Kluyveromyces lactis: one gene and its partner. The protein of the gene in region 2 interacts with the protein of the main gene of each other region in a pairwise test. Links are inferred from orthologs where the notes say so. Each region holds a gene or a part of one and is shown on either strand. Other genes may lie near its edges.

Region 1 (15,574 bases), on a different chromosome or scaffold from region 2:
GTTTACTCGAACATCCCAGTTAAGATTCACAACAGAAAGATCCCATACGCTTTCATCCACTTCGGTTTCTTTGCTCTAGGTTTTGCTGTTCCATTCATCTCTTCTTACGTGCAATTGAAGAAGTTTGGTGCTTTCTAAATGAGTGGATAGAAATAAATTTCCTGCCCTCTTTGTTATATCGTATCCTTTCACAATAATTTTCGTTTTATTTTCATGTCATCATTGCTACACATTCCATCCATCTGCAAATGTCCGCACTATTGCAGCCAGCCGGCGAACATATTCTATTCTATTACTTGATGAATAATGAATAGTCAGTCCGAGGTTTAAAGAAAATACCAAGCACATCACAATAACCAAAACCAGACAGCAAAATAGAATATTACTCAACTCTTCATTTCACATTTATTTATCTCTCGAGAGTGATGTATACCTGCACTCGTCGAAATCAAAAACTAAAGCAACGGTTCGAAGCAATCTGAAGCTAAAGTTGAAATTAGTGACTTCATCGACACTTTGACGAGACTCATGCAAACAAAAAATCACAAACAGATAACAAAGGAATTAACATTATCATACTCCTGGACCGTTCGTGAGATCTAATAATAATCTTAAAAGAAAAATAGCACAAGAGATAAGTGGATTTGGAATCAAGTTTCACCGGGAGTCTTCAATCGTTTCCCTCATTTTTTTCTATCTTCCGACTATCAGCTCAAAGAAATACTATATTATCAACATGAAATACTGTCAGAAACATCATTTATTTTTATCAATATGTTTAAATTTAAACGTATAGGTCTTTAATTAACAGAAATTCAAAAAACGTCAAAATCAGCTTATTTATCAACTGACAAATATTTAATCATTTCTTAAATTTATTGTTTCTCGATTGTGCCGTGGTGTTATTCCTCGACGGGAATCCCGTTGTAGTTTGAGAAGAGTTAATCCTCATATGTGATAATATTCCCCTTGATGATATCGTTGAAGTGCTACTTCTTTTCAATTTCAATCTTTCCAATGCATTCGGTAATGCTTTCGTGACTCCTTGTCGTGAGTTTGATCTGGCGCCGAACGTGTTATTAATGTTAGAACCGCTTTTATTGTTCATTGAAATTGGTGTTGTTGGGGAATGCGGTACCAATATTGGTGCCGTTCTTCCAATTGACGTAGATTCAGCAAGAACGTGTGAAATATTTGGAGATTCGTTTCCATCATCTGAAGTTGTCCGTGAAGGTTTCAATCGGTGAGAGTTTTGTAGTTTACTGATGAACGACTCTTGATTATCACGCTCAATCCCATCCTTTGCGTTTATTAAATTTCTGGAGTCATTTCTAGTAACCATCGATATGACGTCTCTGTTGGTGTCCTTCATTCTTAATTCCTTCTTCAAAGCAGTAAACTTGTCTAATTCTTCCTTTGCCTGGTACAACAGCTGTCGTTGTCTGTTACACTTTTCCTGTAACTTCAGACACATATCTTGATAGTATTCACATAATTGCACCATTGACTCCCACTGGAAATTAGCTACTGTGTATAATGGTTCCAGTTGTGATACAAAGGGTTTAAAGAACGATTGCACTTCTGTCGGTAGTTTGGAACTATCACCATCTAACGGAAGTACTGATATTCTACTCGTCGTGCACACGGGACAAACCGTCATTCCATTATGGTAATGCTTATCACAAAGGATATGAGCACATGATGTGAGCCAGAACTTTCCATTGCTTGTTCCTTGCTGGTTGTTATACGGTTTATGGCATTGGGAACAGTTTACCCATATCTGATTCAAATCAACTGGCGGAGACATTAGACTCAAATGGGAAGAGAGGTTGTACTACTAACTTAGTTTTGGAAGTATTTAACTGAGGGTTTGGTCAGTTTCAAGAAATGATACAAACAATGGCTGTATTGTAAGAAATATACAATTAGCCGCCGAAATCAATTTCCCAAACCCAACGAGAAAAAATGTCACCCGGAAACAGAAGAAATACATCACAAACCACGTGACACTAAGGAAGTCACGTGGTGTACGGATTAATTCCCGCTATCATCTCCAGTATTGCTGACATGATCATTGGGTATATAGGAGGGAAGACGCACGCTACAAATCCAAAGCCAATGCCAAAACCAGTCCCTGACTCATGGCCGGCTCAGGCCCTGCCTTCGCGTCCTACCAAACACCCAATTCATATCACCGATTAACCACCACTACTGGAAAAGTACGAAGCTTTCGCTGTCTATCCTGAATCCCGAGTTGATCCGGTTTTTTTCTCGTCTCACAAAGCCTAACCGTCGCATTGGTAACGAAGTTCCCCACGACAAATTAGCAAAAGCGCCCCAAAACAGAGCCCAAAACGGCGACTTACTAGCAAATAAACAAATTTCGGGCAGTTTACTACCCCCAAAATTATTGCATCAATCGTGGCTCTGAAATATTACAAACCCGCTACTTCCATGTTCGGTAACCTTCTCATTGCAACTACAAAAGTACTGCGATTGCCATTGCCCTAAGTAAGTTATATGAATGACTCTTCTATCATTTCTATTATAGCTATTCGCTTTATTTTTCTATCACTGCTTTGAGAAGGATATTTTGGCTTTTAACTGTGATTAGTGATGAGGTTAAGTCTATTATATATATATGCATGTATATTTGCGTCTCTGCGCTATAAAGTTTCTGTATCCTTATAACTTTAGGTCAGGTTAAGGTTGGTATATTCGACGGTTGTTGTATACTGAGCTAAATTGAATTAGGACAGGACAGGACACTATGAAGGCCGCAGTGATGAGTATTAATCGTCAGTTTTCCAGCTCTGCTGCAACTGGGTTGCGCAAGATTAAAGTTCAGACTCCCGTTGTGGAGTTGGACGGTGATGAGATGACTAGAATTATCTGGGATAAGATTAAGAGTAAACTTATCTTACCATATTTGGATGTGGATTTGAAGTATTACGATCTTTCCGTGACGAACCGTGATGCCACTAACGATCAAGTTACTGTGGATTCTGCTAATGCCATCAAGAAATACGGTGTTGGTGTGAAATGTGCCACTATTACACCGGACGAGGGTCGTGTTAAAGAGTTCAATTTGAAAAAGATGTGGAAATCACCAAATGGTACCATCAGAAACATCCTTGGTGGTACTGTTTTCCGTGAACCAATTGTCATTCCTAGAATCCCAAGATTAGTGCCTGGATGGGAAAAACCTATTGTCATCGGTAGACATGCCCATGGTGATCAATATAAGGCCACCGATCTTGTCGTTCCAGGTCCTGGTAAGTTGGAATTGGTTTACAAGCCAACTGATGGATCCGAGACCAAGACTTTGGAAGTTTACGACTACAAGGGTCCTGGTATCGCTTTGGCCATGTACAACACAGACGAATCCATCCGTGGATTCGCTCATGCCTCTTTCAAATTGGCTATCACCAAGAAATTGAACCTTTATCTTTCCACCAAGAACACTATCTTGAAGAAATACGATGGTAGATTCAAGGATATCTTCCAGGAAATTTACGATTCCGAGTATAAATCCGAATTTGAAAAGTTGGGTATCTGGTACGAACACCGTTTAATTGACGATATGGTTGCCCAAATGATCAAATCTAAGGGTGGATTCATCCTTGCGTTTAAGAACTATGATGGTGATGTCCAATCCGATATCGTTGCTCAAGGGTTCGGGTCCCTTGGTTTGATGACCTCTGTTCTAGTGACCCCAGACGGTAAGGCCTTCGAAAGTGAAGCTGCTCACGGTACCGTCACTAGACACTACAGACAATACCAACAGGGTAAAGAAACCTCAACAAACTCCATCGCTTCCATCTTCGCTTGGACTAGAGGTTTGGCCAAGAGAGGTGAACTAGACAACACTCCAGAAGTCGTCGAATTTGCCAACTTGTTGGAAAAATCCACTTTGAACACTGTCCAAGAAGACGGTATCATGACCAAAGATTTGGCCCTTGCCTGTGGTAACACTGACAGATCAAGTTATGTGAACACCGACGAATTCTTGGATGCTGTTGAAAAGAGATTCAGAAATGACGTTAAATCTCTGCAGTGAAAATGCTTTCAAGAACAGGAGAGTACGTCGATGAATAAGATTACACACATATATGGGCTCTTTTCTTAATAGTAATATTTCTATATAAAACATATAAACGCACAAATAACTACACTAATCCCTCTCTATCCCAAATACCTATTAGAAGTTTCCTTGCAGACTACGGTAGCATAATCCTAAATTGTCGTTCGTTCTATGAATAATAGCTTCTCTTGTCGCTGTCCTAGTAATTTCATTACCCTGCCTCTGTCACATGTACCAGGCTCACACACCTCATTTTTCACCCGATGTTGTCTGTCCTTCCTCAAGTCCAAAAATCGAAAGTGGACAACATGTTCAATATTTTAACAGTTACAAAAGAGAAACATATAAAGAAACATGCCTGACAATTCTTGTAGTTAATACTTGAAGTATTGTTTTTGTTTAGTTGTATTAGAGTACCCAGTCGAGCTTTGTTAGCAAATCACACGCTGTTATATTTTCTTTGGGGAAACAGGAACCTTTTGACTGCTATTATCTATAACTAATAAAGACCGGATATATTTATACCAATTGCTCAAGAAATAAACATAAGATTATACTATAAGAAATGTCTATTGAAAACTCTGTTGTTGTTCCAGCGTACCACGAAAAGCTAAATATCAAGCCATTGACCACCAGGTTATTCCAAGCCTTGGGTAAAGAAGGTTCCAATATCACTGAATTGATCTTCGTCGATGACAATTCCCAGGACGGTTCTGTGGAAGAAGTTGAGGCTTTGAAGAAGCAAGGTTACAACGTCAGAATCATCGTCAGAACCGACGAAAGAGGTCTTTCTTCCGCTGTCTTGAAGGGTTTCCATGAAGCCAAGGGTGAATATTTGGTTTGCATGGATGCGGACTTGCAACATCCACCAGAAAGTGTTCCACAATTGTTGGATTCTTTGAGAACACATCCATTCGTGTTGGGTACCAGATACGCTGCTGGTGTCGGTATCGACAAGGACTGGCCGTTGTACCGTAGAGTCATTTCTAGTGGTGCTAGAGCTATGGCTAAACCTTTGACTTCTGCCTCTGATCCGATGAGTGGGTTCTTCGGTTTGCAAAAGAAGTACTTGATTCACAAGGATGCCAAGAATATTAATCCAAAGGGTTTCAAGATTGCCTTGGATTTGTTGGTTAAGTTGCCAATTCCTCCACAAGAACCTATTGGCGAAGTTCCTTTCTTTTTCGGTGTCAGAACTGAAGGTGAATCTAAGTTGAGTGGGAAGGTCATCATACAGTATTTGCACCAATTGAGAGAGTTATACACCTATAAATATGGTGGCAACAACCTACTGCTGTTCTTCCTATTCTGGACTATCCTAGCACTGTACATTCTGTACCAGGCTTACCACTTGGTATTCTAGTTCTTGAGATACTGAACAAGAACGAACTTTTCTTTATCATAGCAAACAATAATAAACTCTTAATAACTAAATATCCATAAAACCGTATTTCACAAGTGTTCCTAGAATATTGTTCAATGCCCAATCAACTAAAAGGTGGTTTAGCTCTAGTTTACTTTCCTTAATATCTGGGGAATAATACCACCTGACTCAAGGATGATCTTCGAGAAACATTCTCGTTCTCGTTACCCTGATGATGCATAGAAACTTTAAAGGGACGCCCATGCACAAATGATCAAAGAAGTGTAATTTAAAGGATACTAACCAATAGCAATTAATGAGGGGGGGTATGTCGAACGACAAGCAGAAGACTCAATAATCAACTCACAAGTGTTAGTTTATGGGTAAAGTACTTATAAGTTCTTTGAATCTAGGCTATCTGATTATCCGTGTGTTTGCGTTTATTCGGCTTTTAAACAAACATTGTGAGAGTGCAAAGGTTGAAGGGTAACGTGGCACTGATATGAGAGCTGTACTCTTAAGATTGAATGATAATGGTGAGCCACAAGTCAGTTGTTCTTACAACCATGGTGTGCTAACCATGCCATCGCTTCCTATTCTACCGAATAAAGCTCCAGAAGATCCATTGTACACTGTTCGTTTGGTTGTGGCAGCAGGCTGCCCCGTTGCTCGAGATGGTTTAATTTGGACTAATTGTCCCGAAAGCCATGACATCGAATTTGATAGGAACAAATTCCATAAGAAATATATCAAGGCAAGCTTCCATAAAGATGATTTTATTGATTTGAAAGTATTTAATCCGGGGTCTTATTGTTTTTACCTCTCTTATCGTAATGAACAGGACCAGTTGGAAACAACTAGGAAGTTTTATTTTGTGGTACCACCAGTCCTTTACTTGAACGATAAATTTGTTCCCTTAAATTCAATTGCCTTACAGAGTGTAGTTTCGAAATGGATGGGGAAAGATTGGGACCCAATATTTCGCAAAATCGATAACAAGGGATATAACATGATCCACTTTACACCTCTTCAACAAAGAGGAGAGTCCGATTCTCCTTATTCTATCTATGACCAATTGACCTACGACTCCAACTTTTTTAACACCGTAGAGGATGTGAAGCAAATGGTCCAAAAGTTGCATAAAACTCACAACATTCTCGCATTAACAGATGTGGTTTACAATCATACTGCTAACAACTCTCCATGGTTGTTAGAGCATCCAGAATCTGGTTACAATCACATTACTGCACCACATTTACTCCCTGCTATTGAATTAGATAAAAGTCTACTTGAATTCAGTGGTTACATGAAGGCACTTGGATATCCAACGGATATTTCATCTGTAGAAGATCTTATCTCTATTATGGATGGTATCAAAATTCATGTTTTAGGCTCTTTGAAATTATGGGAATTCTATGCAGTAAACATCGATGCTTTATTGAAAGAAGTTGCAGATCAGTGGGATTCGACTCCATTGGAAGCTATAACAGTTCCTGGTGATGTTGAAGATGACTTGGTAAAATTGGCCGGTTTCATTCGTAGCTCTTGTACTAATGATGACTTTGGTTCTTTATCCACAAGATTTGCAAATACCTTGATAATATCCAAGTTTATCACAATTTTGAGACAACTTCATGGGGAAGAATGGAATGGCAATGTTGCAAATGAAGCACGCAAAATTTTGGATGAATTGAATTTACCCTTGTACAAGGAATACGATGAGGACGTTCGCGTAATCTTAGACCAATTATACAATCGCATAAAGTATTTGCGGATTGATGATCATGGTCCAAAGATGGGAAAAATCACTCCTGAATCGCCATTAACTGAGCCTTATTTCACCAGATTGCTTGCCAAAGATGGTAAGGAATATGCATTGGCTAACAATGGCTGGATTTGGAACTCTAATCCACTAGTAGATTTTGCATCAAAGGACTCCAAGGCATACCTACGTAGAGAAGTGATTGTCTGGGGGGACTGTGTGAAATTAAGGTACGGTTCCGCACCTGAGGATTCTCCGTATTTATGGGAGAGGATGTCAGAGTATACAAGACTTCAGGCAACCATTTTTGACGGGTTTAGAATCGATAATTGTCATTCTACCCCACTTCACGTGGGCGAGTACTTCTTGGACCTGGCAAGAAAATATAATCCAAATCTTTACGTAGTCGCTGAATTGTTTTCGGGATCAGAGCAAATGGATTGTATTTTTGTAGAGAAGCTTGCAATTTCATCTTTGATAAGAGAAGCCATGCAAGCTTGGTCAGAGCAAGAACTTTCAAGTTTGATTCATAGACATGGAGGAAGACCGACTGGTTCTTATAAATTCATGCCACTTGATGATTTCCCATATAGTCCCGAATTGGAACTCGATGAAGATTTTGTTGATTATAACAACCGTTTAGGCGATGAACTTAAAAGTCTCTCCGAAATTAAGATCCCAAGATTTTTATCTGCCGCTCCACCTCATGCTTTATTCATGGATTGTACTCATGATAACGAAACTCCTTATCAAAAAAGAACTGTAGAAGATACTCTACCAAATGCCGCTCTCGTTGGATTGAGTTCTTCCGCTGTCGGGTCTGTTTATGGTTATGATGAGATATATCCTCATTTATTAGATGTTGTCAAAGAGAAACGTCAATATTCAGTGGTTAAAGATGATGGTATATCCATTGTGAAAAAGAAATTTAATGCAATTCGAGCAACCATAGCAACGCAGAGTGATGATGCAGAAGATTCCGAAATGCATGTTCACCATGATGGTCAGTTTATCACGTACCACAGAACTCATGCTAGACTCGGTGATGGCTACTACTTAATTGCGAGAACAAAATTCAGTGAGAATGATTATGATCAAAGGTTACCTACCGTCACTCTATCGGGGTCCACTGCAGAACTTCTTTTCAGTTATTCCCTAGTTAAAGATGGCGGTCTGCCTAAAGATGATGACAAGATAATCAAAGGAATCCCCACAAAATTGGTGGAATTGGATGGATTTGTTATTCAATATAATGAAAGTTTAGGTGATACCACGATCAGCTTACCACACGACTTCCCTGCAGGTTCGATTGCTGTATTCAAAACAAAACAATGCGGAGTTACCGAAGACTTAGACGAATTTATTAGAACTGGTGCTTTAAAAGCCTCTGAAAAGTTGAGTTTACATTCATTGAATGCGGTTTTGTACAGATGCAGTGCAGAAGAGTCTGATGTCAGTGCTAACAGAGGAGGTATATATACGGTGCCAGATTATGGTCCACTAGTGTATTGTGGGCTCCAAGGATGGGTGTCTGTCTTAAGAAACATCATATTTAGTAATGATCTCGCTCATCCATTAAGCAAAAACTTGAGGCTAGGTCATTGGGCTCTGGATTACGTGGTAGACCGCCTTGACTATTATAGGGAAATGCCTGGGATTTCTGAAATCCAACAGTGGCTTAAAGCAAGAATGGATCGCGTCAAGAAAGTTCCATACTACTTGGTCCCGCGTTTCTTCGCATTAGTAATTGGTATTGCATATGAGGTTTGCAGATTTAGAGCTATTTACCAGATGTCTGAGAATATTGGTCTCTCAAACCTTTTTGTGCAACGCCTTGCAATGACCTCGGTGCAAATGGTTTCTGTGATGACTTCAACATCTTTATTACCTGATCAAAATGTTTCGTGCATGGCTGCTGGTTTACCACATTTCAGTACACACAATACATGAGATGCTGGGGTAGAGACGTATTCATTTCTTTGAGAGGGTTACTTTTGGCAACAGGACGTTTTGATGAAGCAAAGAACCATCTTCTTGCTTTTGCTAAAACATTAAAGCATGGTCTCATTCCAAACCTTTTGGACGCTGGTAGAAATCCTAGATACAATGCAAGAGACGCGGCATGGTTTTTCGTTCAGTCAGTTCAAGATTATGTTCAAACGGTTCCAAATGGAGAAAGCATCTTGAAGGAAAGGGTCTCAAGAAGATTCCCTAAAGATGACCGTTACATTCAATGGACTGACCCAGAGGCTTTCAGTTACGAATCTACTATTGAAGATATTCTCTATGAAATCGTTTCGAGACATGCCAAAGGAATCAAGTATAGAGAAGCAAATGCCGGCCCAAACCTTGATAGAGTTATGAAGGATGAGGGTTTCAACGTTGAGGTGAAAGTCGACTGGACAAATGGATTAATATTTGGTGGATCACAGTCAAACTGTGGTACCTGGATGGACAAAATGGGTGAAAGTGAGCTAGCTGGCTCAGTTGGTATTCCAGGGACACCAAGAGATGGTGCTGCTATTGAAATCAACGGGTTATTAAAAAGTTGCTTGAGATTCTTAAGTGAGTTACACGAGAAGGGACTCTTTAAATACGATCATGTCGAAAAGCCCAATGGAGAAAAGGTTTCGTTAAAAGAATGGAATGATCTAGTCTTAACAAACTTCGAGATGAAATTCTACGTTCCATCTTCTGAAGATGAAGATGATCGATATGATATCGATGCCAGTTTAGTGAACAGAAGAGGAATTTATAAGGATTTGTACAGATCAGGTAAACCATACGAAGATTATCAATTGAGACCAAATTTTGCCATTGCTATGACAGTGGCGCCAGAACTTTTCACCCCTGACTATGCATACAATGCGTTGAACATTGCAGATGAAGCCCTACGGGGCCCTGTTGGAATGAGGACGTTGGATCCAACGGACTATAACTATAGACCGTACTACAGAAATTCCGAAGATTCGACAGATTTCCACACCGCGAAAGGCAGAAACTACCACCAGGGCCCAGAATGGGTATGGTGCTATGGTTACTTTTTGCGTGCATACCATCACTTCCATTTCCTCTCAAACCCATTAGCTCAAAATCCTTCAAAGACCTTGCCATCGTCGTACCTCTACCAACAGCTATACAAGAGATTAGACGGACACCGTAAATGGATTAGAGAAAGTGAATGGGCGGGATTAACAGAATTAACAAACAAAGACGGGGATATTTGTCAGGATTCATCTCCTACTCAAGCATGGAGTACTGGGTGTCTCCTAGACTTTTTCTACGATTTATGGGACCGATATGAAGATTCGCCTTAATAATTTACTTTTCTCTGCCTAACCACTTACCCTTAAGATTATAAAACAGATAAAAACAATAAAAATCATAAGAAATATATATATGTATATATATGCAAGATCATAGCCAAACTCATACTCATCATACTTATATATTATGCATTTTAAATTTACAAATAACCGAAAACTGCCCCTCCGGTTCTGTTGTCTGGAAATCTTCCTCTTAACCACAAGGAACTGTGGTTCTTTCTCCACTGTCATCCCAAATCTAACGGTTTTCGTTTGTTGATAGTAAAACAAGCCAGAGAAATCCTAAAAAATAAAATAACAAAATAGATAATAAGGAATTTGGATATAAATAATAACTACGTAAATAAGGGAAACCCCTTGAAAGTTGGAACATTGTGAGTCATTAAGCACCAGTTATTTGCCAAAGCAAGTTTTCACATAGAGAGAAAGCTTTTACAGGACAAAACGGTGGAGAGAAAGCTTTTGTAAGTGGTAGGTTCAAATGAACAGAGCGGCTTGAATAAGACATTTTTACATTTGGTTTAATATTAGAGTGAAAGAGATTAGTTGTTCTTACTGCTTTAATAACACTGACCATAAAAAAGAACAGGCAAACTTCAGGATGTCAGAAGGTGAAGTTCAGGTGATAGAACTCATAAATAACTTCTTTCTTAAGTCTGCGCTTCTACTTGAGCAGTCCAAGGTAGCACATAACTTTGATACGGAGGAGGCGCTGAGGGATGGGAATCATTTGTTTAACATTGAAACTCGCGGCGACCCTCTGTTGGAGGCTCAGATCCAGCCCTGGATCACGTTTGATGGAGTGAAGACAATGCCGCCATTAGTAATAGAAACGTACTTGGATCTACGAGCTTTGCAACCCAACCATATGGTGTATCTTCATGACGCGGATGGTAATCCATGGATGGTTTGTAAAGGGGGCAAGAAAACTGAGATTGTACTGGAAAGATGGCTTGTAGAACTTGATAAGCAGACGATAGATGACTCCATCGATTCAAATGATCCTGAAAACTTGCATAAACAATTGGTATTGTTGTTCCGCTACTTGTACACGCTTACCCAACTCTTACCTGCCAACGACATCATTACCAAGCCACACAATTCACAACAGCCCGCACTTATAAATGTTCAAACTAGACTACTTGACGGTTCTAAGCCTATTCTCTCTAAGGGGAGGGTCGGTTTAAGTAAACCTATTATTGCATCATATTCCAACACAATGAATGAAACAAACATTGCTTCACATCTAGAACAACGAAAGATTACACCGATAAAAACTACATTTGGCTCGTTGCGTATCACGGTGTCTTATAGAAAAGATGTCGACTTTTATGTTATTGATTCAGATGATTTACAAAAACGATACATGACACCATCCTTATCTAATGAAACTACCACGGTACCTGATAGAAGGGCTTCATCCAATTGTAGCAGATCTATGTCAGTTTCCCCCAAGACAAATACCATCAATGCGACGCTTTTTCCCCTAGAAGGTTCATCGGCAAGAAGGCAATCCATCTCTTCTAAACTGCAACCTTTTAAAGTTGGATCAGTTGGGAGTGGCTCGTTTGTACAGAGTGGCAGTGCCCAGTCGACTACGAGTCTTGTTCCAAGTTTATCAAGGAATGTTTCGAGTTCATCAGTGGTTGCTGCGTTGAAAGTTCAACGTGGTAGTGCCGGGTCTACTATAGTAAATGGTGATGTACCACCAGAACTTTCTAGTGTTGGTAGCGGATCGAAATATTCTTCATCTTTTGGCAGGATCCGCCGTCATTCTAGTATTAGAAGATCAGAAAGTTTTGACAGGACCGCTAAACCAAGGAAATCCACTGAAAACCCACCGGAAGATTTGTTAGAGTTTGTGAAACTCTTGGAAGACAAGAAAGAGTTGAACATGAAACCTAATACAATATTGCCGCAACAAGATATCTCAAACTCATTGATGCGATTTCAGTCCATGAAAAGTAATAACGATGCTCTTAGCGATAACCTTTCGATGAGTATGTCCATCGACCAGCCTAATGTTAGGTTTGGCTCAAATTCACATTCTCCAATACCTTCATTTTCACCAAATTATGGTTCCATTCCCTCCAGGCTATCTCAAGGTAGTAGAAACAATAGTAATGCGGAATTGATTACCAGCAGGAAAAGCTCATTGGATAGACACAAGCATAATCTATTGAGCAGAACTGGAAGCAACGTTGACATAAACAGGAGAGGTTCTGTAGGAACTATGGAAACGACTAATGAAGATTCTAAAGAGGACGAACAGTCTCACATGAAAGGAATGCACTTCAGCAATGAAGCAACCATAAATAAAGATGACGATGAGGATGAAATGTTAATGAAACGTTCATTTAACGCTGGAACATCTACTACTGAGCAGGTTATGGGGTCGCCCAGATCTATAAGAAGTATTTCTGTAAGTTCTTACCCAAGAAACCAGCTTCCATTGAAACATCTCAACCTCTCTCACCCTACAACATCGGCTACCACTACCCATGCAAAATTTCATAAGAGTGAAATGAGCCCCGACCCACTGCACACAGAAGGAGCACAACCGCATACTAGCTCGCAACATCATAATAGCTCTCAAAAAAATGATGAAGATGATGATTTGTTATTTGTTATGAGTGATATGAATCTAACCAACTAATAATGACATCAATAATTAATATTAATACAATGGTTTCACGACCTCAAACCATTCTTTCAAAAATGCATTTTATAAATAATTTATACTTGAATATATATATGTGTATATATATAGATATAAACATCACATACAAACTTCACCTGAAATTTTTTAAATCTTCCTAGCGTGGTCATTCTTAGAGGATTTTTGGTTCTCGTCCTCAAGAATCTTCATCTTTAATTCATGAATCTTGTGCTTTTCAATATGAGTATCGAATTTTTCTTTTGATTTGAATGTTCTGTTACAATTGGTATATGGACATTTTCTTTTCTGACCCACTGTATTCAATAACAATGATTTGGTTGTCTTCCCTGACTCAATATACTTCTTTATCTTTATTTCTGCTTCAACTGATCCAAGCTCGTCAACTTTCCGTTTCTTTGAGAAAGAGGGGAAATCAAGTAACGTTTTTTTCCCTGAACTAAAACTGTCCTCCGTTTCTGATATCTTTATATCTGTATTCACTTTAATATTCGTATCTTCATCAGCGTCCGTCGGCAGTAATAGCAATTCTGGATCTACATCTTTGTGACTTTCTTCATAATGTTGTACTAGCTGAGTTTTCTTCGCAAATGATGTATCTGGACATGAAGAACATTTCCAATTCTTAGTGACCAAACTCTCGTCATGAATCATCATATGATTCCGTAAACCTGATTCAGCAACACAAGGTTTCCCACAAATAGGACATGGTAATTTCGGATGGCATTGTTTAATATGTTGTTGTAAAGAAGACCAAGTGGAAAATACGTCGGTACATGAAAGAAAGTCACATTGGTACATTCCGGTAGATTCTGGGTTGTGATGCTTATCTATGTGATTCTTCAATCGATAAGGCCTTTGGAACGTCTTGTTACAGTGAGGGCAGGTAAGTTTCTTTTCGTGAACGGACAAGATATGCGATCGGAGTTGTGGATGTTTGTAGAATGATTCGTTACATCCCTCATATGAACAGTGGAAGGACTTCGTATGTGTAATTTCATGTCTCTTTAACTGTTGTCTGGTTGTGACACCTTTCCCACATATAGAACATGTGAAAGGTTTATCATCTGTATGAGAGAACATGTGTCTATTCAGATGCGATTTTTTCGCAAATTCTTTGCCACAAGTGTCGCATTTAAACGGTTTGATTCCATGATGCACGGTGAGCTGATGCTCCGTGAGCAAACTCGGTCTTGTGAACGATTTGTTACACCCTTGATAATCGCAGAAATATACTTTAGAACGCTGTGACGATGAAACTGACACAGTGCTAGTCACACTGGCCATACTCATAACACTATCCATGGACTCTGATCTGGTTAGCGGCGGTGTAGGTACACAACATTGTTGATCATCATCGTTTTCACCAACAACATTCTGCCGTACCTCATTTTCCTTATTGTATGTCGGCGCGACCATCACAGATTCATCAGTAGCTACTACAACGTTGCCTAAATAGTCCATAACTCGGTTGGGTATTCCGTGTATCGGCGTGAATCTCCTTACCCAATCGCACCTCATCGCCTGGGTTTTTTCTATGAATTTCATTTGAATCTTATTTTGTATTTTCAATTAGGGACGTAAAACTGTAATAATCATACAGAATAGACAGGGAAAAGAAGCAGCTACCACCTCCTTCTGAGAACTTCAGTAACTGTGTACTACTAGCGATTCTCAAAGGTAATGCAAGCAAGACAAATAGGATACCATAAATGGGCTGAACCAGTAACATATTCATACAGTTCACCACCTCATCTCGAAAAGTGTTGATAATCGTTTCTTTTACTGTCACAATCGATTTTTGAAAAATTTGGAAAAATTGGAAAAAGCTTCAAATGAAAATGAGCTAGCGAGTAACACAGTAACACGATGTGGACGATAAATTGTCTTATCCAGGTCTTTATTGTTGATCAGCGGCATCAAGGATTAGCATCTTGATAGATAAAGATGTCAGACAACGAGGGAGCGTATGTTATAGCGATTTAATAGGTGTTTTTCCCTATTATTTCTTCGTAGAAGTTGTCTTCATGAATAGTTTTACTAACTAGATGAGTATGCGTTGCTGAATGTCAATTCAAGCACAAACTATCTAATACAGATTTAATGACGGTCCAGAGAACTATGAAGATTTTGACCAAGAGCATTTCTCAGATTACGACGGATTTGATGAGGGCGAGGGTAAGTTTGGCGATGAGAACGGATTAGGCACAGATGAAAACGGGAACACGATAGTTGCTGGAGGATTTGGTCCAGAAGAGTTCCAGCAACAGGAGGCTCGTCGGAGAAGAACTTTGAAGGAGAAGGCTATCGCCAAGGAAGATAGAACTACAACACCATACATGACAAAGTACGAAAGAGCCAG
Region 2 (16,518 bases):
TTCTTTTTTTCTCGAGTATCCAATATCGAAAATTTTAAGAAACGATGAGATGAGATGAGCTTCACAATATAAGGTTCTGCAAGTTTACTGCTACATCTTCTGATATCAGGTATCACTTCACGAGAAGCCGAATCAATATTCAATAATGGTTGCTAAGAAAGGTAGTAAGTCACAGTATAGTGACCTACAACGGAGAGACAATCAGGACAAATTTGAGAGATCGAATAACGATGATGATGCCAACGGGTCTCACAAGATGCAGAAGAAAACCAAGGATAAGAAGTTAAAGGCAGGATTGAAGCGTATTGATCAGAAGTATAAGGAAGCGGTACTCTCTACTGCTGCTACAGAATATCTTTTACCCGAAGAGCATGGTTATTTAGAAGCAGAAGATGAGATGGAAAAGACGTTCAAGTTCACACAGGCTGAAATCAAACACCATGTTGACGCCTCCATGGCCAATAAGGCATTGGACTTGAAATTAAACGATTTTGGTCCGTACCGTGTAAATTATTCCAGAAATGGTACGCATATGCTTATTGCAGGTCGGAAGGGCCATGTAGCATCTCTTGATTGGAGGAAAGGTGAACTTCGTGGTGAGCTAAATCTCGGGGAGACAGTGCAAGCAGCAACATATTTGCAAAATGAACAGTTCTTTGCAGTAGCACAAAAAAAATACACGTTCATTTACGATCATGAAGGTGTAGAGCTGCATCGTTTAAAGCAGCACATAGAGGTCAAACATTTAGAATATTTACCATATCATTATCTCTTGGCAACAGCAGGACAAACAGGTTTTTTGAAATATCAAGATGTTTCGACAGGTCAACTAGTATCAGAGATCAGAACTAAACTAGGTCCTACTACAGCGATGGCTCAGAACCCTTGGAATGCAGTAATGCATTTGGGACATAGCAACGGCACAGTCACTCTATGGTCACCATCAATGCCATCACCACTGGTAAGACTATTATCATCTAGAGGATCAATAACAGGAATTGCTGTAGATAGACAAGGTTATTATATGGCCACCACTGGTTCCGATAAATCTTTAAAGATTTGGGATATCAGAAACTTTAAAGAAGTACATAGTATTGAGAACATGCCTACGCCCGGTACTAACGTTGCAATTTCAGATACAGGTCTACTTGCAGTATCAAGAGGGCCTCATGTAACAATTTGGAAAGATACGTTGAAAAGTGGGAAAGCTGCTAGACCGTATTTCACCTCTAGCGGTTACAAAGATAGAAATACTCCGTATATGTCTCATTTATTCGCTGGAAATAAAATAGAGAACTTCCAGTTTGCGCCATTCGAAGATTTGCTAGGTGTTGGACATCAAAAGGGTATAACCAATTTGATTATTCCAGGCGCAGGGGAAGCCAACTACGACGCACTAGAGGCCAACCCATACGAAACAAGCAAACAGAGACAGGAACAAGAAGTGAGATCATTATTGAATAAGTTACCTGCTGATTCTATAACATTAAATCCAAACACAATAGGTACAGTAGATTCTCGTGCTTCTCAAGTCAGATTAAATGCAAAGGATCTTGCAATTATCTCGAATGCAGAGCAAGAAAAATCCAAACTAAACAAAGACATTCCTGATGCCAGACCTGATGTTAAAGGTAAGAACTCCGGATTACGTGCGTTCCTACGAAAGAAAACTCGTAATGTTGTGGATGAAAGGAAGTTAAGGGTACAAAGACAACTAGAGAAGGAAAAGTCTAGCCGCCAAAGAAAAGAAAAAATTAAGAAGGGTGAACTTGCTGATGATCACAAAGACCTTGTTGATGAAGCCTTATCAAGATTTTCTTGAATCATCAAGTAGTTATCAATATGTATACTTACATGAACACTTATATAATCTGTTATTATAGCCGGCTTAGTATCGACTGTTGCAAAAACATGTTTGAATTATTTGCATATAGATACGACTTAGTTTGAGGTGATTATTTACTGTACATTATGAAGGATGACCGCTATTGCTAGGACCTAATTTCTCGATTAAAATTCAAGAGAATCCTCGACTTTAAATGAAGATGGTAATGGGGCATATATATCTTTTGTTTGTCTTACGGTCTTGATTAATTCTAGTGGTTCTTCAGGTGTCTTATCCTCAACGATAATGACACCTGAGTTTCCTCTGAATTTGCGAACAGGTACAAAACGGCTATCTTTCGCAAAAGATATGAATTTGAGTTGCTGCGGAAGCACACGGGTGAGGTTTTCAACATCATAGCTCGTTGTCGTGTATTTGATCTTAGCTTCTTCAGTATTCTTGGCCTCTTCCTTCTTTTTTTCCTCCAGTTCCACCTCTTGCTTTTCTTCATTTACTTTTTCTGCATCCTTTTCTTTAACCTTTTCATGTTCTCCTTTTTTACCTTTCTTAGCTCTTGCCTTGGCCTTGGCGGTAGTTGACAAGACGGCAGCTGCAAACTTTTCTATATTTTTGTCCACCTCTTCTTCGTACATGCGAGGATAGGTGAAAATTCCCTCCTTCGTATGACATTTGAAAGCAAATTTAGGAATTGCCAAATCGCTAGCACGCAAACCCACTAAGGTAGTTGGAGTGAACGAAAGCGATAAAAAGTGGGACAATGGGAACCAGTACCAAAATTGGGAGAACATCATTAAACCAATTATTGATCTACTGTTCAAAGTTCCCATTTCGGTGTTCTCCAATTCGATGGTTACATTCCTACCACCAGCGTTCATGATACCTTGGGCAATACAGGCACCGAACTTTGCTAGTCCTTCCTGGTGCTTGTTTCCAATTACTGACATGAACTGTTCATTAACTTCCTTCACCTTTGAATTCGTTTTTTCAGTCTGCTGAATCAATATCATTGAAGTGGCAATCATAGCAGCTTGACGAACATAATCAACTGGATCCTTCAAAAGAGGTTCTAATACATCCACAGCTGCCTGTAAGCCTCTACCAGCGCAGGATACACCCAAAGCGAACGCAGTACCACAACGGACATGAGCGTTATGTGATTTTGACAAAAGTTCTACGATTCTTGGGACGGTAGTATATTCACGAATTAACACGAAACCTAGGGCAGTGACTGCTGCCCTTCTAACATCGTCGTCGGAGTCCGAGACTGCGACGTGAAGAAGTTTTTTCACAGCCTTATTATTTCCGGTCCCTGCATGGGCTAAGGCGATTGTGTAGGCACCACCATAGCGTAACAGGGCGTTCTCACTGGCTAGTAACTTATCAATCAAGTCGTCAGCTAGTTCCTCTTTGCCGTAATTTATGAGAGCTAAGGCAATCGATAAACTTCTTGTGATATTACCGTGTTGAGTCTCTTCTGCGTAAGTTAACAAGTCCTGAATAACAGTTTGGTTACCTGAACCTAGTAAAATTAAACCAATAGCCAAAGCAGCCGCATCACCAGATTTAGCTGAGTCTCCATATAACACTTCTTTCAACATCTCACAAACATTCACATCGTCCGAGCCCATACCTGACAACCCAATACCTAAACAAGCACCATGTAGCAACACATCTACATCCTCTTCTCCAACGGAAGAACTATTAGCTTGAATTTGCTCTTTTAAGTAGTCAGTTGATTCCTTACCGTAGCCGGCAAAAATTAAACCTAGACCATATAATGAACCACCTTTGATATACCTCGATTTTGAACCATTTCCTGGCAAATAAGGCTCCATTATCTTTCTTCCATCTGAGAGGTTGCCTTGGTGAATAACACCTAGTGAAGCAGTAGCGGTAAATTTGGCCCAGTTTTGGGCTTTGCCTAACCATTGTAAATTTTGTCTGATAAAACTATCATCCGTAGTCCCTGCGTGCATAAAAGCATTGGACACACTCACAGCTGTGTGGAATAAGGAGAATTTACCATCCAAAGATGATTTCATCTTATTCAGAAGAGCCTTGTCTATGGTTTTGTTCTCAAATAGAAAAGTGTTTTGCAAATCGCAGGTGGGTATACCGGAAAGGATTTCAAGTAACTTAGGATCGTATACATTGGCGTCCAAGGAATTAGAAAGATCCTTCAATAATCCCTGAGAGGCTGAGTTTACTAGGTCAAAAGCGATTTGGTAGGAAACATCATATGATTTAGTTGAATTTAACTTGAAGAAGAGCTCCTTGGCAAATTCGATATCATTTAACTGTACGATAATTTTTGAGATAATAAAGTAGTCTGGGGCAGGCATGTTCATGACAATTTCATACAACTTCTTCAATACGCTCAATTTAAAGCGAGTATTGGTTAATGCAGTGGTACATACAGCCAATGTGTAAGAGCACAATTTGAGGGCATTAGTACTGGTGTCCTGGGAAGTGAGAAGCTTCTCAACAACATCAAGTCTGTAACTTTCTAATGCGATTCCCAATGCAAGTTTATACTCCCCTGAAGAAACACACTTCTTCAACATTCTCTCAAAGATAGAAACCAAATGTGGATCAATTTCAACAGGTTCCGATTCGTAGTTACTAGAAGCAAATTCAATATACATTTCGATACTCTGTGACACAATCGTTTCGACATATTGCGACTGTTCATCGATATTCAAATACTCTCCTGCAGCTAGGGCATACTTAACCGCTAGTTGATATTCTCCAAGGTTATAATACACTTTTGAGGCCACAATTGCTGCTAGTCTACGATCAGGAAAGGATACATCATCATACAATGCTTCTATTTCGGTAATATCATTTGATATCTCGGACCACTGTTGATCTACCACGTCTTTAATTGATTGTAATGCATGAGTCTTAACAGTGTTGTCAGATTCCTTCAATAACGCCAAAAGCGGCAATGCAGATGTAACTGACATTCTGGTTGAGTTTACGGCTTTAAATACCTTAAGTCTCGATGTAACCTGGTAATGTGCAGATGTGGTGCGAATAGTAAATGACTTTATTTATATACTTTTGAAGCTTCTGTTCTAAAGTTTGCCACCGTTTGTCAAATTAAATCAGAAACCATACAAAAACTACCCTAATCGTATAGAATGATTTTATAGAGCCTCTTCAAGAATATGCTCTCCACCTCCATCAGGAAATGTGCTTTGCAAGATAGTCGCAGTTGTCCAGTTGATCAATATTGCACCATTTACAAAATCGAGAAGCACTATTATCATGCATACAATATATAATTATACGTTCTATCCTTTATCTATACCGATATTATAATTGAAGTGAAAAGCAACTAAGTTGAATTAGTATTCTAACATAGCATTTTAATATAGTAATCTGATTGAAATCTTGTAGTCAGTTTCGTTCAACTCATCGTATATTTGTTTGATATCACTTTGGTTAACATTTGAAATATCAGCCATCAAATATGCGATGTCCCCGTTAGAATCAGAGAACTGCTTTTCGATGTTGTGGTTGGACAAGATGTTGTTGACAGTTTTCAAAACACCAGGAACATTTTGATGGATATATAGTACACGTACAGTGTTTTCTTGATCCAGATCTAATGCTCTTAATGAAACTTCTGGGAAGTTAACGGCACCGACGGTGTTACCTTCGTTGATGTATTTCGTTAGTGCAGTAGCCACTTCGATACCAATAGAACTTTGGGCTTCTTCAGTAGACCCACCAATGTGTGGAGTCAAGATAACATTTGGTAAGGAGACCAAATCAGTTGTCCATGTGTTCAAATTATCACTGAAGGCACCAGCACCATTCTTAGCAGGTTCATTTGGATACACATCCAAAGCGGCACCGGCAATCTTGCCCGCTCTCATTGCTTGAATCAAAGCAGGAATATCAACCACAGTCCCTCTAGATGCGTTGATAACGTATGAGCCATCCTTCATAGCAGCAAATTGAGGACCAGACAATAAGTTTTTAGTTTCTGGAGTAGCTGGAACATGACAAGTCACAAAGTCAGAATTGTTCAACAATTCATTCAAAGTAGAAACCTGCTTAGCAGTACCCAAACTCATAATAGTGACAATATCATAGTAGAGAACGTTCATACCAAGAGCTTCAGCCAAAACAGATAATTGAGAACCAATATGACCGTAACCGATGATACCCAAAGTCTTACCTCTTACTTCCCAACAGGCAGCAGAAACCTTGTTCCAAGTACCGGTGTGTAATTCAATAGATCTGTCACCTAATTGTCTAGCTAGGGTAATGATTTCTGCAATAACTAGTTCGGCAACAGATCTGGAGTTGGAAAATGGAGAGTTGAAAACAGCAATACCATGCTTGGCAGCGAAGTCAAGGTCAACTTGGTTAGTACCAATACAGAAACAACCAATGACAACCAAATTCTTAGCGTGTTTCAAAATTTCCGGTGTCAACTTAGTTTTGGATCTGATACCAATGGCGTGGACATCCTTGATCTTCTCAATCAATTCGGCTTCTGGTAAAGAGGATTTGTGGAATTCGACTTGATAACCTTGCTTGTTGAAAATCTCAATAGCTGTTTGGTTAACATTCTCCAAAAGAAGGATCTTGATGTCACCCGTAGAGAATGGCTTCAAAGCCTTCTGTTGCTTTGCAGCATTGATTCTGTGTGGCAATGTGTTCATAAAGGATTGAGTTGGAGAGGTGGAAACTGCACCTGGAGAACTGGATAAGTTCAAAGCAGCCTCGAAGGAATCCTGTAAATTATTGATCTGTTGACCGAAAGCCATAATGCTGGGATGTTTACTGATTGTAAGTGGTGTAGTTTTTTTAGCTTAGGAACAGGTATTGAGTAACAAAACTGAACCGATTTGAATAGATAGTCTATAGCTAAGTGCGAAGTGTTGAGGTAAGTTCTATTTTACCGTATTCTTACCAGATGATCTGACCCTCTATATATACTTTATTTCTTACTGTGAAAAAATGAGACACTTGGAATTACTCATCACGTTCAATTACGATTTCACACTGATTCCCACACATTGAATTAATTAATCCATGTAGTAATTAAACTATTTTTGCTTTTTTTCTATACCTTGGAGGAAAATTTTTCACATACTAATTCATAACAGTCATCAGACTCATTATTCAATCAATTGCAGACCTAGAGCTGACAAAATAGGGCCTTGTTAGGGTATAACGTTTAAACCTCTCGAACTTAAGTATCTTGCCTTTGCACGCAATGAATCATTCCTCAACGGTACTAATGCAGCCAACAGCCGTGTTGGGACCTGCATGAAATACTCACAATGCTATTTGAATGGAGATGATCTTCCGGAGATACTTTCTCGGAGATATACTTCCATAAGCAATCACTTTACACGAAGTGTCCAAGTTAAAAAAAGGCGGGTTTTGTCGAGTCATTTGCACAATCGTATTTTGGAAGGAATAATTCAAGTCAATTTTGGATTGGCTCATTATCGAAGTCAGAAAGGCTGAGTTAATCACATGACACATATTCATTCGTCATGTAGAACGCACTTTTCAAGGCTCCCCTGCTTAAATATTCAAACTTAGATTGACATGACGACAGAATAAAGTAGTTACGTTTTAATCATTGAGAACTATGTTACTGAGATTGATTTTCGAAGATAGTTCCGACCAGAACTGCTTTAACTGGTTTTGTAAAGCTTCTGAAGGACTCATTTTAGAGATTTCAAGAGCTTTTTGGCACCACATAATACCTTGGGACTTATTATCAGTGATTATATAAGAGATTCCTCGATTCCAAATGACTGTAGTCAACCATTCAATTTCGGTAGTACAATAATTATTAGCGTGTTTTATTCTGATCTGAAATTGTGACAAAATTGTTAAACAGTTCTGTTCATCCGTGCCCTGGGAGACCTCTAGTAAGGACCTTATCCATTGACTCAAGATATCATCCGAAATAGATGTATTTCCCATATTTCTGTCAATTAGGCATTTCAAAAGTTCTGTTGCAAAGGCGTCAGACATGATCTTTTGTGTATTTGTGAATACATCCCAAACGAGTTCGTCGACTTTATAGTCGGGGTTTGTAGCAGTAGCGTCTAAAATGTGTTTCAATAGCAGTAAATCTCCGAGATTCATCGCTGCTTCGAATGATCGCACGATAATATCGATAAATGTATTGTGTACTTCTTCAGATGTCAACACCGATTGTTCCTTATCTTTGGAAGTGTTAAAGAAATCCTTGTTTTGTGCTATAAGTGCGAGGCTACTTTCCTTCAGAGAAATCCAGTTCGATGTCCGGTGCAAAAGTTCCAAAGAAAGGACGTCAGTTCTAATCTCCCAATAACGGTAGTACAACTTCTTATGGTCATCCAACTCCTCCTTAGGAATATACTCCAAGTATAATTTGCAATCGGAAATCAAATGATCTAGATATGTTATTCTGCCTTCATTCAATAGTTTCCTCACCAAATTGTAGCAAGCTGATGCAAACCATTCTATATCATCAATTGATATTGCTTCATCATATATTCCGGGGTTTTGCACTTTTCCCGCCAACTGTTTCAAAGTTTTGGCGGTCTTGATGAATTCAGATCCCTTATTAAGCAACATATGCAAAGTTGGAAGATATTTCCCGACATCTTGAATACCGTCCTTTTCTGTCATTTTCAACAACATTTGAATTGTATACCTCAACGAACAGATAACAGAGGCTCCTCTTGTATGAGCAATTTTATTTTCCATATGCTGGATCTTATCGAACATAGAAAGCATTCCGTATACTCCCCAGTCGGTTGATCTTTTACATTCAGATACTGCAATAATCAAAGCATCTACTGACTTGTCATTGTTTGATTCCTTAAGAGTATCGAGACATTTCTTCGCCCCATCGAAGTCGTTTCTGTGAGCATACACCCGAAACATGTTCAACTGGGTTAAAGCATTCCGTTGATCAGATGGACTCATTTCAAAATATATCTGTTCAACGCTATCGAAATCCCCTAAATCAACCATTGCAAACTGTAAGGCCCTCTGGATTTTCCCAGTATCGATATGCTCTGTAGAAAACAATTCGTTAAGCGCCAAGTTGAACCATTCTACGCTTTCTGCTTGTTTACCTGTTTTATACAATTGTTTTCCCTCATTGAACAGTAAAGTGATGATACCTGCGGCGCATGATTTGCTCAATCTTTTAGTCATCATCTTTTGCACATTATTCAGTGTTTGTGTCATATCTCTGATTTTGATGTCGTTAGTCAGCGCTTTTGATTGTGAGATTATGAAAAATCTTGTTGCTAAGCACAACTCTAAAACATTAGAATCAATGGTGGAGTTCATTTTGTTGAAAAAAATATAGTCCAAGCAACGAAGCGCTGAGGCTGTATCCAATTCTGCTTGATGATTAATAAATCCAATAATCCCTTCAATATTTGCTGATACATTTATTGTCGAAAGCATTTGCATTAAGATATCTTCCAAGTAGACATAGTCGCCCGGCTTATGAAGTTCGTGAAACTTTATTGCCAACTTATATGACTCAAGTTTTTGAGGATAGTGATTGATCATATCAGAAATACGTCTTTCACATAGTTCAGTGTTTGCGTTGTCTTCGATTGCTAAATTGGCAACAAATAAAAGTATCGTGTACTTTAACTGCAATAAATCAGGGTGAACTTCCAAACCAGGAACTTTTAGGGTAAGGTACTTTGCTAAATTCTCCATAATATGCACCAAATCTGAAAAGTTTGTCTCTGCCTTTTTATTCTCGATTAAATGTAGTGCTGCGTTGTACACTGTTCTGCAAATCTCAATCACTGTGTCTGCATCTAACGCGCAGGCATTCTTTTCTATTTCAGCCTTTTCCTCATAAAATCTTGCCATTTTCAAGTCAGATTCCTCCATTGCATTTTGTAAATACACCATAAACATTTCCACTTTCAGTCTTTTGTATTCGTCTTGAGATTCATTACCAGAACAGTTGGATGTTTCGTAATACTGTTCAAGCTGTTGAAAACATGAATCACAGTAATTTTGTATCTGCGTTTTAAGCTCCGATTGAATTTGATAATCAATGGCATATCTCGTTGTATTCAAAATACATCTAAATGATCTAAGTTTGCACTTTGGATCAATTACAATTGCTTCGTGTAAACCAAGTAATAAAGAGACGAATAATTTACAGTTTGCTATAGTTCTCTTTTCAGATGCATCTCCTTCCAATTTGGTCAAAATTGCAACTGAATTCCATAATTTAGTGGCAGAATCTTCCAAGGAAAAGAGCAATGCCTCTTCAAGCAATATTTTGGTGCTTCTGAGAGTTCTAGCATGTTTATCTATGATAGGAATAAAGATTCTAATCTTAGACTCAATAAGTTGGTAATCATCCTCAGTCAAGCATTTCGCAGAACTGATCTTGGTTGTTATCCAATTCAACGCATCTTTAATTATCTTTGTGTTAGTAGTGTGATTGTGAATGAAATGGCCTGTTGCTGCCCTTTGATTAATCTAGTTGAATTGATGCTCTCTCAGAGAAAATGACATACCGTCGAATTCGATGATGGTATTCTTGAAAGTTGAAGATAGCTCACACATCATGCAATAAACTTCAGCAAGCAACTACAATGGATATGTGGAGCTGTTCAATCTCTTCTTGTCATCTTACCTACGTATTCGAATGTTTAAATGTTAGCCGCCGATGTTACTTTTAGAATGTTCTGATAGTTCCCTTAAAAAATTTAAATCACCCGGTGATGAGGCGTGAGCAACATCATGAAGTTTGGGACAGGTTAACGGAGGAGGATGACACCTGATTAATACGGGCGTGTGGCGTAGTTGGTAGCGCGCTCCCTTAGCATGGGAGAGGTCTTCGGTTCGACTCCGGACTCGTCCAAAATTTTTATTTTACATCTCGACATTAAATCTGCACACCACATATGTTTTTCGAAGAAGAGCCATAATCAGAATTCAGTAATATCACAACATATAAGCAGGGGTCCAACACCCCCCTTACCCCAGACATTAGCGGGTGTCTCATGCTAACACTTGGTTTTGTCAATTTGCTCACGCATTCCCATGGTCCTTATATTACTTCTTCATTTCGTTTTCATGTGATTATACGTTAACTGTCCATTGTTTTTTATACATAGTTTGCTTTAATTATACAACGTGAATATTCAAATATAGATTGCTTGAACCCACTACAGACACGTAATCAAAAAGAAGAGAGTAATCAATTAGGTGAATAACTGTAGGTGGCACTCGAAGATAACAATAGACTGGAGTCATTGGGAGAAATGGATAAGATATACGTTTATGCTGGTGAAAATAAGCCGAAAGTCGAGCTTACCAAAATCAAGAACGTGCCGCGAATTGAAGAGATAATAAGGTATTTACATAGGATGCAAGATGTGTTTCAGCTGCAACTAAGAGCTGTGGAAACAATTACAGGAAACTTAAAGATAAAGTCCAATTCGCATAGTGATGATACTGACGATCATGACAAGCCGTTTTACATTTTAGAATATTGCGTCGCTGAAGATACGTATTCTTTATGGAAATCACGTTCAGAATGGAAGTTGAGTTCTGCAATAGCAACTTTATACGGCAGTAATACGTTAACGGACTTACCTGATCGTCTAGTTGAAGCATTGAAAGACTCACAGCATATCTTCATGGTCAGAAACCTACTTAAAGAGTTCAACATTAGGGATACCATGAAGATCGATTGGGACTCTATTGCCACTGACCTTATGATATTTTTTGAAGCCAGAGAGTTGAAGAAACCAATTGATCCTTATGAGCTTAAAACATCAATGGCTCTTTCTCTGCTTAGATCTATGGTTGACCTTAATAAAAGAGAGCTTGGCTCTACCCTTCTATCGTATGATGTTAAAGTCCATCAGGACAACAGCCCAGTTTCATCTCCTCCTTCCGCTTCCACTAAAGCTAATAAAAATATAACGTTTCAGTCTGATTACACACATATGCCATCAACCCAACTTCAATCAAACTTCAACACTTTCTTCCAATCCATGGCTGAGAATTTCGAGACCTATGACACGGAAAGACAACCTTCTACGAGATCATTGAGGTTGCCGTCATTTGCAAAGAATAAAAAAACACCTGCCGGACAGGTCCATAAACCTGCTAGGAAGGGGAACGGAATGTCTATCAACTAAAAATAAAAATTCTATTACTCAAATTTGTCGATCTCGAATTGTTAGGTTCAGTGCGCCTCTTTTGTACCCCCCAACTGAATGCAGATATCTCAAGACGAAGTTGCTCTCATCTATTTGATACATTAACATCTATATTTAAAATATACAAAAAGAAAATAAACGATACCATCAAAAAAGGAATCTTACTTAAAATCTCTGATGTTAGGAATGACAGGCCCTCAGGTTGCGGTCTTCTCCATATCATTATTCACTAACCATTAACATATTTACGTGTTTGCCTTATGTACATAATACAATAGCGCTTAGCTTCTCAAATCATATTAAACGAAGGCGGCATTTCTGTCAAAACCTCTATCTATTTTAAAGTTGAACATTTCATAAATGAAGAGAACCAAATTATATCAACAAAGAACAAAACAAAAACAAATAGTCGAGACAGTTGTATCTATCGGCAGTGTCCTTGGGGTTACAATTTGAAATCAACTCCATTGAACTGGTCGCAAGAGTATTTTTATAAACTCAAACAGGTGTGATCGTTTTCTTGCAATGTTTAAGTTGCAAGTTGTGTTGGTGCCTGCGGGCGCTAATAGAAGTTTCAATTTTGGTTTACCTTCTGTATCATCAGAATCCTCTCAGTTTATTCTGCCTGTCCAACAACAGGTTCTGCAACAGGGAGGAAATGCTCCCCAATTAGCGAATAATATTCCGGCTCAGAATGGAATTGGGGCTCTAGACCCAAATGTATCAACAAATACAGCGTATCTTTCCAGTTTTATGACCTCCCATATCACAAGACCGAAACTCAAAAAATTCTTAATATTTACGAAACCAACAAATACGTTATATCAGCTCTCGCAGGAAATATTAGACAAATGTAACAAAATTTACCCCAATTTATCAACAGAATTAGAAATCGATACCTTACAAGATGTAGATGAATGTGATTTGGATCCTGATTTTGTCGTAAAAGATGTGTTCAATGTTTACAATACAGTTCGCGTAATCTTAAGAAATGATGTTGACTTAGAATCTAATCCAGATAGGCAAGAATCATTATACTCTTCCAAGAGAAGAAAGTTGAATAACGGGAACTCTCAACAAAACACCTCGACAGGTGCAACATTAGATCAACCCGTAACAGTTGCAAAAAGGAGACCGCAAGCATTAAAAAACTCTGCATTGAGGATATCTACACCCTTGGCGCACCAAATTTATCCTCCTCCGAGTCAAAGAAATCCGAAACAAGTAAATTCTGACTATGAAGAGGATGAGTATGGGGATGATGAAATAGGTGATAAATCCATTTTACCACCTCCAACTGTTCCTCAATCCCCTCCAATTAGAATAAGTTCAAGTATTGCGCAAAAACGATTGAAAATTAACGGCTCAGAAGATACTGTGTCAAAATCAGAAACAGTCGATCCAAGTAAAGCTAAACAGCAAAGATTACCATCAGGCACTCCAATGAAACCAATGAACGTTATAGAGACACCTAATAGACCAGGTTTCTTAGCAATGCCTCAGCAAGCACAGCATTTGTTAAGAATTAATTCTACTCCGGTGGTCACCAATAAAAGGATTACTTCAGGAATGCTACGCATTCCCGAACCCAGGATTTCGGAGATGGAAAGAACAATGCATGAAGGTCTTTCTTCTCCAGCTGCTGGCCTTCTGCCACCTAAGTCAGCTAAAATTCCAATGAAAAAACAGTATATTCCTGACGAGCACGATTCCTCTAGCTCTGAAGGAGAATTTACTGAAGACAAAGAAAGCGTTCCGGTCCGAGTCAACTCAAAAGCTCCATTGCCAGTTAGTGTGCAGAGTCGTGCACCTTCATCCATTGCCGATGATAACGGTTCTCCGACAAAGAAAAGTCCTCTAGATGCTACTAAGCGCATGAATGTCAAAGTAGCTGACCTTCCACCACAGAGGAAAAGTTCTTTGGAGGCGAAAGTGGAAAAATTAGCTAAAAATGCATCAGAACTAGTAGCTGATAACCATTTATCAAGCAATACTACGAGAAAAGAAGGGTTCAGTGAATCGGAATCTGAAAATGCAGAAAGTGAAAATGAGGCCAATGATACTGTATGCATTCATCCAACTGACCGAATGGATGGTAGTTTCCAGAAATCCGAGTTGCTCGAATTATTGAAGGGGTCTAAATTCGATGTCCCTCCGGCCTTCAGAAGAGCTGCTGGAGCTTTACAGGAAAATGATATTAATAAACGATCGAGAAAACCATATCTTACGGTATTAAACAAAGATATCGACAATAGTGAACCTGATCCAAGAAATATCCTACCTTCAAAGCTCCCAAGACAGGCTGCTCAAAAAGCAGCCCAATTCATCTCTACAGGAACCTCAAGGAGACCGTTGCAGTCTTCGTCTTCTTCTTCTTCTTCTTCTGCAGTCGTTAGTGAAGAACCATCTTCAGATAGTGACATTGAAACAGAAAATAGTGATAATAGCATGGATGAAGTCAACCTCAAAAGACTAAATGTGCATCCATTAAGACCAGTTATGGTACCGGTTGAGGAAACTCAGGATACAAATGAGCTTAACAAGACAAATTCAGCTAATTCATCATCATCCTCTTCAGAAGAAAGCGAAAGTGCTGATGAACCAGGAAATGAGGAAGGAAAAGCTGCTGGTTCAGAAAATCCACAGAAATCAGAAAGTAAGGTCGACCAAATGAAGAGTGTTTCCCAGCCTGCCAAAGTCACTAGCTCGAGGCTAATAACATTGAAGCCTGTTGATACACCCAAGGAAGTGACGCCGTCGCCTTCGATGCAGCTACATGATAAGATAGATCGCCAGCTTTCGCCTTCCCCTACTAGGAATAAAAAGGATTATATCTCCCCTGAGTTCATAGAGGATTCCGATGGTGATGCTGAAAATGAGAATATAACATTATCCCAAAGATCCCAAAATAACAAAGAAAACACGGAACCCTCCTTTAACAAAGAAAATAGCGAAGACATCAAACTGAAGAAAATAACACCATCCGTATTGAAAAAGAAGCAAGAAGCAGAACAAAGAAGATTACAGCGAGAAGCAGCCAGAAAAGCGAAAGAGGAAGAGAAGGAAAGAAGACGGGCCGACAGAGAAGCTGCTAGAAGAGCAAAACAAGAGGAGCAAGAAAGAAAGAGAGCTGAAAGAGAAGCTGCCAAAAGAGCGAGACAAGAGGAGATTGCTCGCAAGAAAGCTGAATCTACAACGAAAAAAGGACCGAAAGAAACTAAGAAAAATGGAGATATAACCCCCAAGGTAATTGAGAGAGCAGAGACCGAATCTTCGGCCAACGGCACACCTGCAAAAAAAGCTGCTGAATCTGGTGTACAGTCACCTGACTCTCCATCAAGAGCATCAAAGTTAGACGAACTACGGAATAAATTCGCTGTTGGGAAAGCGTCCATAACAGGTCCGCCTAAGAAAACTATTAATAAACCTATCAAACTTCAGTTGTCTTCTACTTCAACCAGCAATACAAGTTCAGATTCCGACGGCTCTTCAGGTTCAGAGAGCTCAACTTCGTCAGAAAATGAAACATCTATGACAAAAAAGACACGTAGAGGTATTGTAGATACTCCGAAGGGATTAATTGGCTCGATCTCTAAAAGCGCTATTGACAAAGGTACTTCTGATCTGGAGAATGCCCCACAATCAACACAACAAAGCAACTCATCCCCAATTAAGGTTCCAGTCACCAAGATGATGGAATATGCTTCTCCAACCGCAAACAAATCTTCTGCGAAGTCTGTTTTAGTTTCCCCTCCATCCAAAGCTACTAAAGTCAATAGACAAACATTATCTCGGAACTCATTGAGCTCGTTGTCTGACTTAGTTTCTAGAGGGGTTCCAGAAGTCAAGGAAAAATCTGCTGCAAAGACTGTTCCCCAACCCGAAAGTTCTAGTTTGAGTGAAGAGGATGAACTTCAGTCAGGGACCGATGATAGTAGTGATAGTGATAGTGACAGCGATTCGTCAGATGATGGATCTGATACTAATTTTATTAATGCAAAATCTGCATCTAAAGCATTGGGAAAGAAGAAAACTGACAGTGGTTTCAGTTCTCTAATCAAAGACTCCAAAAAAATATGAGTCAATTGCATAACCACTGGTTTTGCTGCTACAATTTTGTAACAAAAGTTTTAACTTAATAATATATAAATAGTTAAATGAATTAATAATTTGTGAATGTAAGCCAGTTGCATTGAGTTGTATGTTTCATTGACTTGCCCAATCCATCACTCTCAAAGCGATTGTCACCATTAGTATCGTCACCGGAAGGGTCATGACAACGTATGTCCAAAAGAGCACATTGACAATTTCAAATTCGAAAAACTCGTTTAATTGGGTCAATTGAGTTAGTTGAATGGCCGGTGGAGATGCAGTCAATAGAAATGAGACTAATATAAATACGGGATCGGTCAATATGCTTTTTCGCAGTTTTTTCACTGTAAATGCAAGCAATGGCAATAAAATAAGAGCTGGTAGAATCATTCT

The links.
Region 1: the proteins of SPO22 (region 2) and CST9 interact in a two-hybrid assay, tested with the Saccharomyces cerevisiae proteins (2 studies listed by BioGRID). The link is inferred for Kluyveromyces lactis from reciprocal best matches to the Saccharomyces cerevisiae genes SPO22 and CST9.

Annotation. Positions count from the first base shown.
Region 1 is NC_006038.1:300,674-316,247, forward strand, and holds CST9 (SUMO ligase CST9), read right to left. Parts: upstream 1,808-15,574; coding exon 863-1,807; downstream 1-862. Other genes in the region: COX8 (cytochrome c oxidase subunit VIII), read left to right, coding at 1-138; isocitrate dehydrogenase (NADP(+)) IDP1, read left to right, coding at 2,771-4,060; DPM1 (dolichyl-phosphate beta-D-mannosyltransferase), read left to right, coding at 4,650-5,447; serine/threonine protein kinase regulatory subunit ATG13, read left to right, coding at 11,137-13,191; PZF1 (Pzf1p), read right to left, coding at 13,342-14,760; DNA-directed RNA polymerase core subunit RPO26, read left to right, coding at 15,160-15,179, 15,311-15,574. UniProt on the Saccharomyces cerevisiae protein: Component of the synapsis initiation complex (SIC) necessary for the synaptonemal complex assembly. Stabilizes the ZIP2 component to the chromosomes.
Region 2 is NC_006039.1:805,367-821,884, forward strand, and holds SPO22 (Spo22p), read right to left. Parts: upstream 10,430-16,518; coding exon 10,378-10,429; intron 10,273-10,377; coding exon 7,451-10,272; downstream 1-7,450. Other genes in the region: UTP7 (Utp7p), read left to right, coding at 146-1,822; proteasome regulatory particle base subunit RPN2, read right to left, coding at 2,011-4,812; KLLA0_C09306g (uncharacterized protein), read right to left, coding at 5,218-6,630; chromatin-associated RNAPIII regulator FPT1, read left to right, coding at 11,128-12,012; KLLA0_C09394g (uncharacterized protein), read left to right, coding at 12,559-16,113; KLLA0_C09416g (uncharacterized protein), read right to left, coding at 16,240-16,518. UniProt on the Saccharomyces cerevisiae protein: Involved in chromosome segregation during sporulation.